2 linked regions of the Sus scrofa genome follow. The protein of the gene in region 2 interacts with the protein of the main gene of each other region in a pairwise test. Links are inferred from orthologs where the notes say so. Each region holds a gene or a part of one and is shown on either strand. Other genes may lie near its edges.

Region 1 (4,353 bases), on a different chromosome or scaffold from region 2:
CTGTTATCCCCTAATGTCCCTTTTCTATTTCAGGATACCATATAACATTTAGTCATCATGTCTCCTTAGGCTCCTCTTGGCTGTGAATTTCTCAGATTTTCCTTTATCAACCCTGACAGTCTTAAAGAGTAACACTAATTCATTTGCTACAGCTTCTTCCAAAAGAGCTACACACTTCCTCATTTGTGCCTCCATTTGAAAATACGCCCTTCCTGGAATATTCCCTAAAATTCTTTTGTCCATAATGGCAGTTTGGAATTTTATAACTGGGGACCCCAAGTCCTTTTTAGGGTGTCTAAGAAGTCAAAATCACTTTCAGAATAGTTCTAAGATATTCTTCATCTTTTTCACTCTCGTTCTCTCAAGAGTATGGAGTTTTTCAGAGTCTCCATCAGATACGACGGCAGCCCTGTGGTGGCTACTAGAATGTGTGTATGTGTATTCTTATGTTTTCCAAAATTTTCAAAGGCCATAGGTTTAGGATATAAATGTGCATTTTTAGAGATTAACTCAGTTTGTTCTTAGTGTGTCTACCATGCTCTTATTCCCCATCTTCGATTACTTCAACTAATTTGACTTCTGTTGTACTGCAACAGACTGAAGAAAAAAAGAGCTATGAGAATCCAGCTGTCTTCTATTAAATCAGACCTTAAAGAGACTTGCAAAAACACAAGACACTAATTGTTTTGGAAAATAGCTTTTTTATAAAGTATAAAAATGTTATCTATATTAATATAATGACTTACATCACATAGTAAATATTTTCAATATCTCAGCTTTAATTTCTGATATGACAAATATCAATAGATTTAATCAACATAAAAAAAAAAAATCTTGGATTCCTCAATGGTTATTAAGAGTGAAAAGAAGTCCTGATGGAAAAGTTCTGAGAATTGCTGGCCTTTAACACTCCTTCATTTTCTAAGACGTTCCTCAAATCTCTACCTCCTCTACATATGCATCTATAATTACTTCAGTTTTCTAAGAAGTCAGAGAAGGAAAAGAGTAAGCGATACTTGTGGTGTTTTGCCTATGAAGATGCTGTCTTCCCAACAGAAGAGCAATAAATCCCAGGATGATTTTCACTGAAAGGTGAAAATGAAATTTTATAGTTCATATGATGTACACTTAAATGAAAATATCACTGATATCAAATATTTTATTACTAAATTAATTTTGTAAGGGAACTTTTACAGAAATTAGGCATTCTGAGCAAAGTTCATCTCACTTGACATTTGTACAAGCTTTACAGATGCTTAATTGAGGAATTTAATAAAGCACTGATTTCATCCTTTTATGTCTACTGATCTTGCCCCGGTAAACAAGGCCATAGTAGAAAAAAACACACAAAGTAACACATAAATGTACCCACATTTGTCACCAGAATATCTTAGAATCTCCCTAGGGTTGTAGGAGAACTTTCATAAAAATTTCCTTTACTGAACAGCTAATTTCCCCCCTCCCACTTTCTCTTAAGACCTAGTCCGAAGATCTAATAAGATTAACGAGTGACCCTTTAAAGAGAACAAATGTTCTGTGTTAGCATGTAAAGAAGTGAGTGAAATGGGTAAAAGTGGTCAATAGGTAGAAACTTTCAGTTACAAAATAGTCATGGGAGTGATGTACAGCATGGTGACTGTAATTAACTAACACTGTATCATATATTTGAAAGTTGGTGAGAGTAAACCTTTTTTTTTTGTCGGGCCGCTGCCGCGGCATATGGAGGTTCCCAGGCTAGAGATCTAATCGGAGCTGTAGCCACCGGCCTACGCCAGAGCCACAGCAACGCAGGATCCGAGCCGCGTCTGCAGCCTGCTCACCACAGCCCACCGCAACGCCGGATCCCCAACCCACTGAGCAAGGGCAGGGATCAAACCCACAACCTCATGGTTCCTAGTCGGATTCGTTAACCACTGCGCCACAACGGGAACTCCGTAAGAGTAAATCTTAAAAGTTCTTAACACGCACAAATTGAAACCCTGTATGTTGACTTATTGTGGTGAGCATTTTGCAATATATACATATATAAAATCATTATGCTGTACGCCTTAAACTAATATGTGGTTATACGTCCATTATTTTTAAAGGAACAACTATGAAGCTAAAAAGTTAGTTTCCTTCAGAATCTCTTTTGAGGAACACAAAATCTCAATTGAAGCACTTCAGCTTCCAAGCAAATCCTCTGAAAAGTGGCAATCTTTTCACCCTTGTAATGAAAGTATCCTGAAAAGCAGCAGCCTGAAACCAGTAATGTGAAATAAACATTTCAGTTGGCCATTACAGGAAAAGGCTTAAACGTTAAAGCCCAGGCAGATGTTAGAAATAACAGTCTTACAGTAGCAAAACACTTGATTAACCTAAAGAAGAGGGAGGGTGCGCCTGGATTGATCTCTTACTGCCTCAAAAACAAGAAACTGTCCAAACAGGATTACCACACTTGCCAAGCTAAGGAAACAGCTTCCTAAACCACCTTTCAGTTGGGCTTTCTGTGTATAATTGGGCTGACTCACTTGGCCCAAGAAAAACAAGTTCGTACTTGCTTTCCCTCACACGTCAGCGTCTCTAAGCGAGTCCTGCCCAAATATATGCTACAGAGGCTCAAAAATCAAGGTGCCGAACTAAAGAGAGACTCCAAACCTCCCAGGGTGGCCCTTGGCAGCCTGCGCCCCGTCCCTGCTCTTCCACTCCCACCCCCCTTTCCGAGGTGGCCCCGGTCCTGCCCAGAACTTTCCGAGTCGCCTGTGGGGCCGCCCCGGCGCCTGCCACCCTCTCCGGGCCCTCCGAGAGGACCAGCCCAGGTGACTAGGGCAGGCACGTCAGCCACGACCGCCCCTCACCTTGTTGGGTCCCCAGGCCGCTGCGGGCCCGGGCTCAGGGGATGCAACTCCGACCAGATCCATGTGAGGGAAGAAGACAGCGACGGAAACAGAGCAGAGAGGTGGCAGGACAGGGAAGCAGCTTCCGTCGAGGAGAGAGGCGGTGGGGCAGGGGCGACGGGCTGCTGACGCCGGAGCTGAGGTGACAGATGGCGGCGGCGGCCGCCGCGTCCGGAACTAGACCTCTTCTCTTCCGCCCTTTTCGCTGGAACGCTCGCTTCCGATTGGCCGCCGCCCGCGGCTCCGCCTTAGGTCACCTTTCCCCGCCCCCGGCGGGCCGCACTTCCAGTTGCTGCTCCCAACCGGGAGGTGGTGGTCACTGTCTTGGTTGCCCCGCGGAGCGGTGTCGGGCGTGGCTTCCTCTGGGCAGTCCATCCTGTGTCCTGGCTCGCCGAGGGGGCTTCTGGGTCTCATTAAACAAGATTTGGACTGTATGGACTATAAATAAACAAGCAAGCCAGCTCTCCATTCATTCATCATTTATTTCCCCCTGACTTTTTTTTTTTTTTTTTTTTTTTTTTTTTTTTGTCTTTTGTCTTTATAGGTCCCCACCTGAGGCATATGGATGTTCCCAGTCTAGGAGTCTAATCTGAGCTGTAGCTGCCGGCCTACGCCACAGCCACGCCAGATCGAAGCTGTATCTGCGACCTACACCACAGCTGAGGGTGTCTCCGGATCCCGAACCACTGAGCGAGACCATGGATCCAACCCGCAACCTCACGGTTCCTAGTCGGATTCGTGTCCGCGGTGCCACCAGAGGAACTCCTCCCGGGTGACCGCTAAACTGGGATGGTGTGGGAGACCTAGAATGGCAGGTTTAGAGATGGGAAACTGAAGAGGTCCGATTTTGTTTTTATTGTTGTCGGTAGGAGGCGGGGCGTGGCATGTCAAGTTTTGTAGTGTGTTGTGTAACATTGAAAAAAAATAGGACTACATAGAAGTTTTGAGTTGACATTTTGTAGCGAGATTTTCATAACATGGCAGGATAAAAGTAGCCAAACATTATTACATTTATTTCTTTTTTTTTTTTTTTTTTTTTGTCTTTTTGCCTTTTCTTGGGCCGCTCCCGCGGCATATGGAGTTTCCCAGGCTAGGGGTCTAATCGGAGCTGTAGCCACCCGCCTACGCCAGAGCCACAGCAACGTGGGATCCGAGCCGCGTCAGCAACCTACACCACAGCTCACGGCAACGCCGGATCCTTAACCCACTGAGCAAGGCCAGGAACCGAACCCACAACCTCATGGTTCCTAGTCAGATTCGTTAACCACTGCGCCACGACGGGAACTCCTGTGTCTCATTTATTATATCCAGGCAGTGCTCAAAGTACTGCAATAACACTTCTCAAAATAATTCTGAGAGATAAATTAAATCATTATCTCTGTTTTACTGATGATGAAACAGACACAAGAGAGGTAAAGTAACTTGCCCGGTGGTCTGTGGATGAAAATAATCAATAATCAACCTATAATAGTAGTAC
Region 2 (3,819 bases):
TCATCTTAATGGTCAGTGATTTCATCAATCGTGCCTATTTAACAAATAAAAAAAACCCTAATGGAAGGGATTCGAGAGCTTCTGGGTGGGTGAGCAAATGGAGATGCTGGGAGGGTGACCTGCCTGGAGGAGGCGTGGCTCCTTCCCCAGGCGGTGCCTGATGCATCTTTCCACAGGGCTGTTCCTGAGTTGTATCCTGTTATAATAAATCCGTCTATAATAGTTTTATATATTTTATATATACGTACATCATCTTATAATTATATAAGGTATAATGTACAATATATGATTATATATTTTGTATATATTATATATAACATTAATATTTTTATAATAAACCAGTCGTGTCCTTTTATAATAAACCAATGACCCAAAGTGAACACTTTTTCTAAGTTCTGTGAGCTGTTCTAGCAAATTATCAAAGCTGAGGTGGGCAGCCTGAGAACCCCTGGTTTGTAGCCACGTTGAGCCGAAGCTGTGGGGAATCCGGGGACTGTGACTGGCTTCTGAAATGGGGGTGGGGGCAGTCTTGGGGGACAGAGCCCTTAACTTGTGGCAACTGCAAGAACTCTGGTGCGTGTCAGAACCAAATTAAAACATAGGACACCCAGCTGTGTCCACAGAGAGCTGGAGAATTGCTTGGGGTAGAAAAACTCACATCTGGGGTCAGAAGGGTTCCAGAAGGGTTGGTGGGAGCAGCAATAAAGGAAAATAAAATTTTTTCTTTCAACAGCCGAAAGAGATTACACCGCATGTAGCGTACAGAAAAAAAAAATCAAAAGTAGAATTCCTCTTCTGATATAAAGCTCAGTTTGCAAGATTCACTGAAGCGAGTGTAAGCATTTGCTACATAGAGAATTTTCTCCAGAGTTCAAATATTCAAAATAATCTGCCCAACTGCCCTTTGCTCACTTTGTGTGGAGGATTACGTTACAGCAAAATGATAATGTGATCAGGAAGAAAAAAAAAAAAATCTCAGTGTTCAGAGTTCAGGTTGGAGTTTCAAAATATACTTTCCATATTTCCTGCTTTTTATTTCTCACTTGATAACTTGGTCCGTAGAAGAGCTGTTTTCATTCTTCATAACTTTTACCTAAGCTATCTATACCTTATGCTTGGGTTATTGTTTGACATTTTATCAAATTAACAGCAGTCTATTTTTGCTCCTCGACATGTTTTGTGTTAACAGTATTCTTAGAGAGAAGCTTCCTTTTTGGCTAGTTGCGTTTTCAACCAGATAAATGTGCACATTACACTGCGTCTCTGAACTAAAATATGGGTGTAGCATAAAATCTTCATGAACACATCCAGGAGTGTCTGCTTTTAGCTTGTTTAAGGGTGACGACATGGACTCAAAAACACCAATATTTATCAGCATATGGCCACATGCGGAGGCAGCCAAGTTTGAGGTCTGTCGTGTATGGCTTTTATATAATACCACAGCACCACCACACTTACAGGACAGACTAAAAGCAAAACCAGAAAGAAAATTCTTCTCTAAGAGTAATTTCTGAGAGTATGAGTGTTTTTACGACTTTCCTCTCACAGCAATGTGTATTGAAGGCTGACTCTGTGCCAGACAGACATTTTACAGGAATTACCTCATTCAACCCTCAAAAAATTATGAAATAGATACTATTATTATCTCCACTTGACGGATGGGAAAAGTGAGACATAGAGCAGCTGAGGAAAGGGCCATGGGACCATTAGTAAGTGGAGTCCTAGGCAATCTGACTTCATGGACCCCACAGACCCCACTCTTCATCCCCACACCATCCTGCCTCCTTCTTTTTTATGTTATCGCCTGCAAAACAACTTTTTTCGCTCTCACGTTCATATAAAAATCAGAAGACATGTGTCTCAAACCACTTCTCCCCACCCACCCCAGCATAAAAGCTCCAAGAGGGTAGGAGCTCTGCTCTATACCTTACTGTATCTCCAACCTCTAAAATTATGCCTGGTACAAAGCATGCATTCGATAAACATGCGTGGAATGAAAAATTGGGGAGATTTTGGGTTTTCCCAAGAGAATGTTCTCCGACTGATGAGCAAACATCATACACAGCCAACTGGTTTAAGAATCCCCACAGGCTGATGCAAGCAAGCAAGCCAAGCTAGTTACCTTTCTCTCTTTTATATTTTTCTATCTTTCTCATAAGGTTAGGTGCAATTTTTTTGCAGACATCCTCCAGTAACGTCAGATTATCTTCATCTATTTGATCTTGTTTCTCCAGATATGACAGCAAACTTAGAGAGGTCTGTAAGAGAATCAGTGAAGTCACATTTCCTTGCCTCCTGATTATCCATTCGTTAAGAAACATTACCTGTGTGGCCACTAGGCACCAGGTTTTGCATAAAGTGGAGCGTCTATCCAAGAGGACATCAGTGGTATGGAGGAAGAGGCATTACCAAGTAAATCTCTATACAGTCTATATTAATACCAGATGCCAAATACACGTAACTCACTAACTACCAGGAGGTGCTTGCCGTGTATTAAAACCCAATGAGGGAGTTCCCGTCATGGCTCAGTGGTTAACGAATCCGACTAGGAACCCTGAGATTGCAGGTTCGATCCCTAGCCTCGCTCAGTGGATTAAGGATCAGCATTGCCGTGAGCTGTGGTGTAGGTTGCAGACACGGCTCGGATCCTGCATTGCTGTGGCTCAGGCGTAGGCCGGCAGCTACAGCTCCAATTAGACCCCTAGCCTGGGAACCTCCATATGCCGCAGGTGTGGCCCCAGAAAAAGACAAAAATAAAAATAAAAAATAAAACCCAATGAGGTAGACATTATGATAATCCCCATTTTGAAGATACAATAACTAGGCACAGAGAAGTTCCGCAACTTGTCCAGGGCCAATACGTGGCAGAGCTGGTATTTATTTGAACACTGGCAGACTGATGCCAAAGTCCATCTCATTAACCATTGAGCACACTGCCTCTCATTCCCAGCCATAAATGAGAGGCTGGCAGCAAAACAGGGCCACCAAAGAACTGAGAAGAAAAACGTTTCGAGAGAATTTTGTATTCGGCATTTTAAAAGAAAAAAATATTACTCAAGCACTCCTGGGGAAAATTGCAAAAGGGCTAGGATTATTTTAATTTTGAAGTACAAATGGTGTGGAAGGCACCACAATCTTTTCAGCAATAAGGGCTTCTCGATTGATATATTAATCTGGTTATGAAAAGCATATGAATAACACTGGGTTAGAGCCCACAGCAAAGAATCGGAAAGCGAACATCTTAACACAATCAAACTGCACATGCAATAAATATCAGCAGGGTGGGAACAAGGGGCAGGAGCACGTTGAGTGGTTGAAAGGGACAGGAATATTAAGGAATATTGAGAAGGAGGCCAGAGGACAAACTGAGTGAAAGCCAGGTCACAGCTGGAATGATAGGCTGGTATCAGACCATCAAGGAACACCAAAGGGCTTGGGCAAGTGTCCCATGGATGAAGGGGTGCCAGGAGGAATTTTTAAGGAAAACAATGACATGAACAGATTTGGGGTATTTTTGTTTTTGTTTTTAGGGCTGCACCTGAGGGATATGGACATTTCCAGGCTAGGGGTTGAATCGGAGCTGCAGCTACTGGCCTACACCACAGCCACAGCCAAGCCATGTCTGCGTCCTACACCACAACGCCAGATCCTTAACCCACGGAGTGGGCTTAGGGATCGAACCCACATCCTCGTGGGATACTAATTGGGTTCTTAACCTGCTAAGCCACAATGGGAACTCCAGATTTTGTTTTTAAATAGAAGTCTTGGAGATAGGCTGGAGGAGGAAATGTACAAGAGAGAAAATGCTGCCAGGCAGAT

The links.
Region 1: the proteins of CASP10 (region 2) and RIOK3 interact in binary tests that used the Homo sapiens proteins (3 or more experiments, as listed by UniProt). The link is inferred for Sus scrofa from reciprocal best matches to the Homo sapiens genes CASP10 and RIOK3.

What each region holds. Positions count from the first base shown.
Region 1 is NC_010448.4:108,337,711-108,342,063, reverse strand, and holds the start of RIOK3 (serine/threonine-protein kinase RIO3), read right to left. Parts: upstream 3,079-4,353; 5' UTR 2,901-3,078; coding exon 2,838-2,900; intron 1-2,837.
Region 2 is NC_010457.5:104,867,803-104,871,621, reverse strand, and holds part of CASP10 (caspase-10), read right to left. Parts: intron 2,259-3,819; coding exon 2,123-2,258; intron 1-2,122. UniProt on the Homo sapiens protein: Involved in the activation cascade of caspases responsible for apoptosis execution. Recruited to both Fas- and TNFR-1 receptors in a FADD dependent manner. May participate in the granzyme B apoptotic pathways.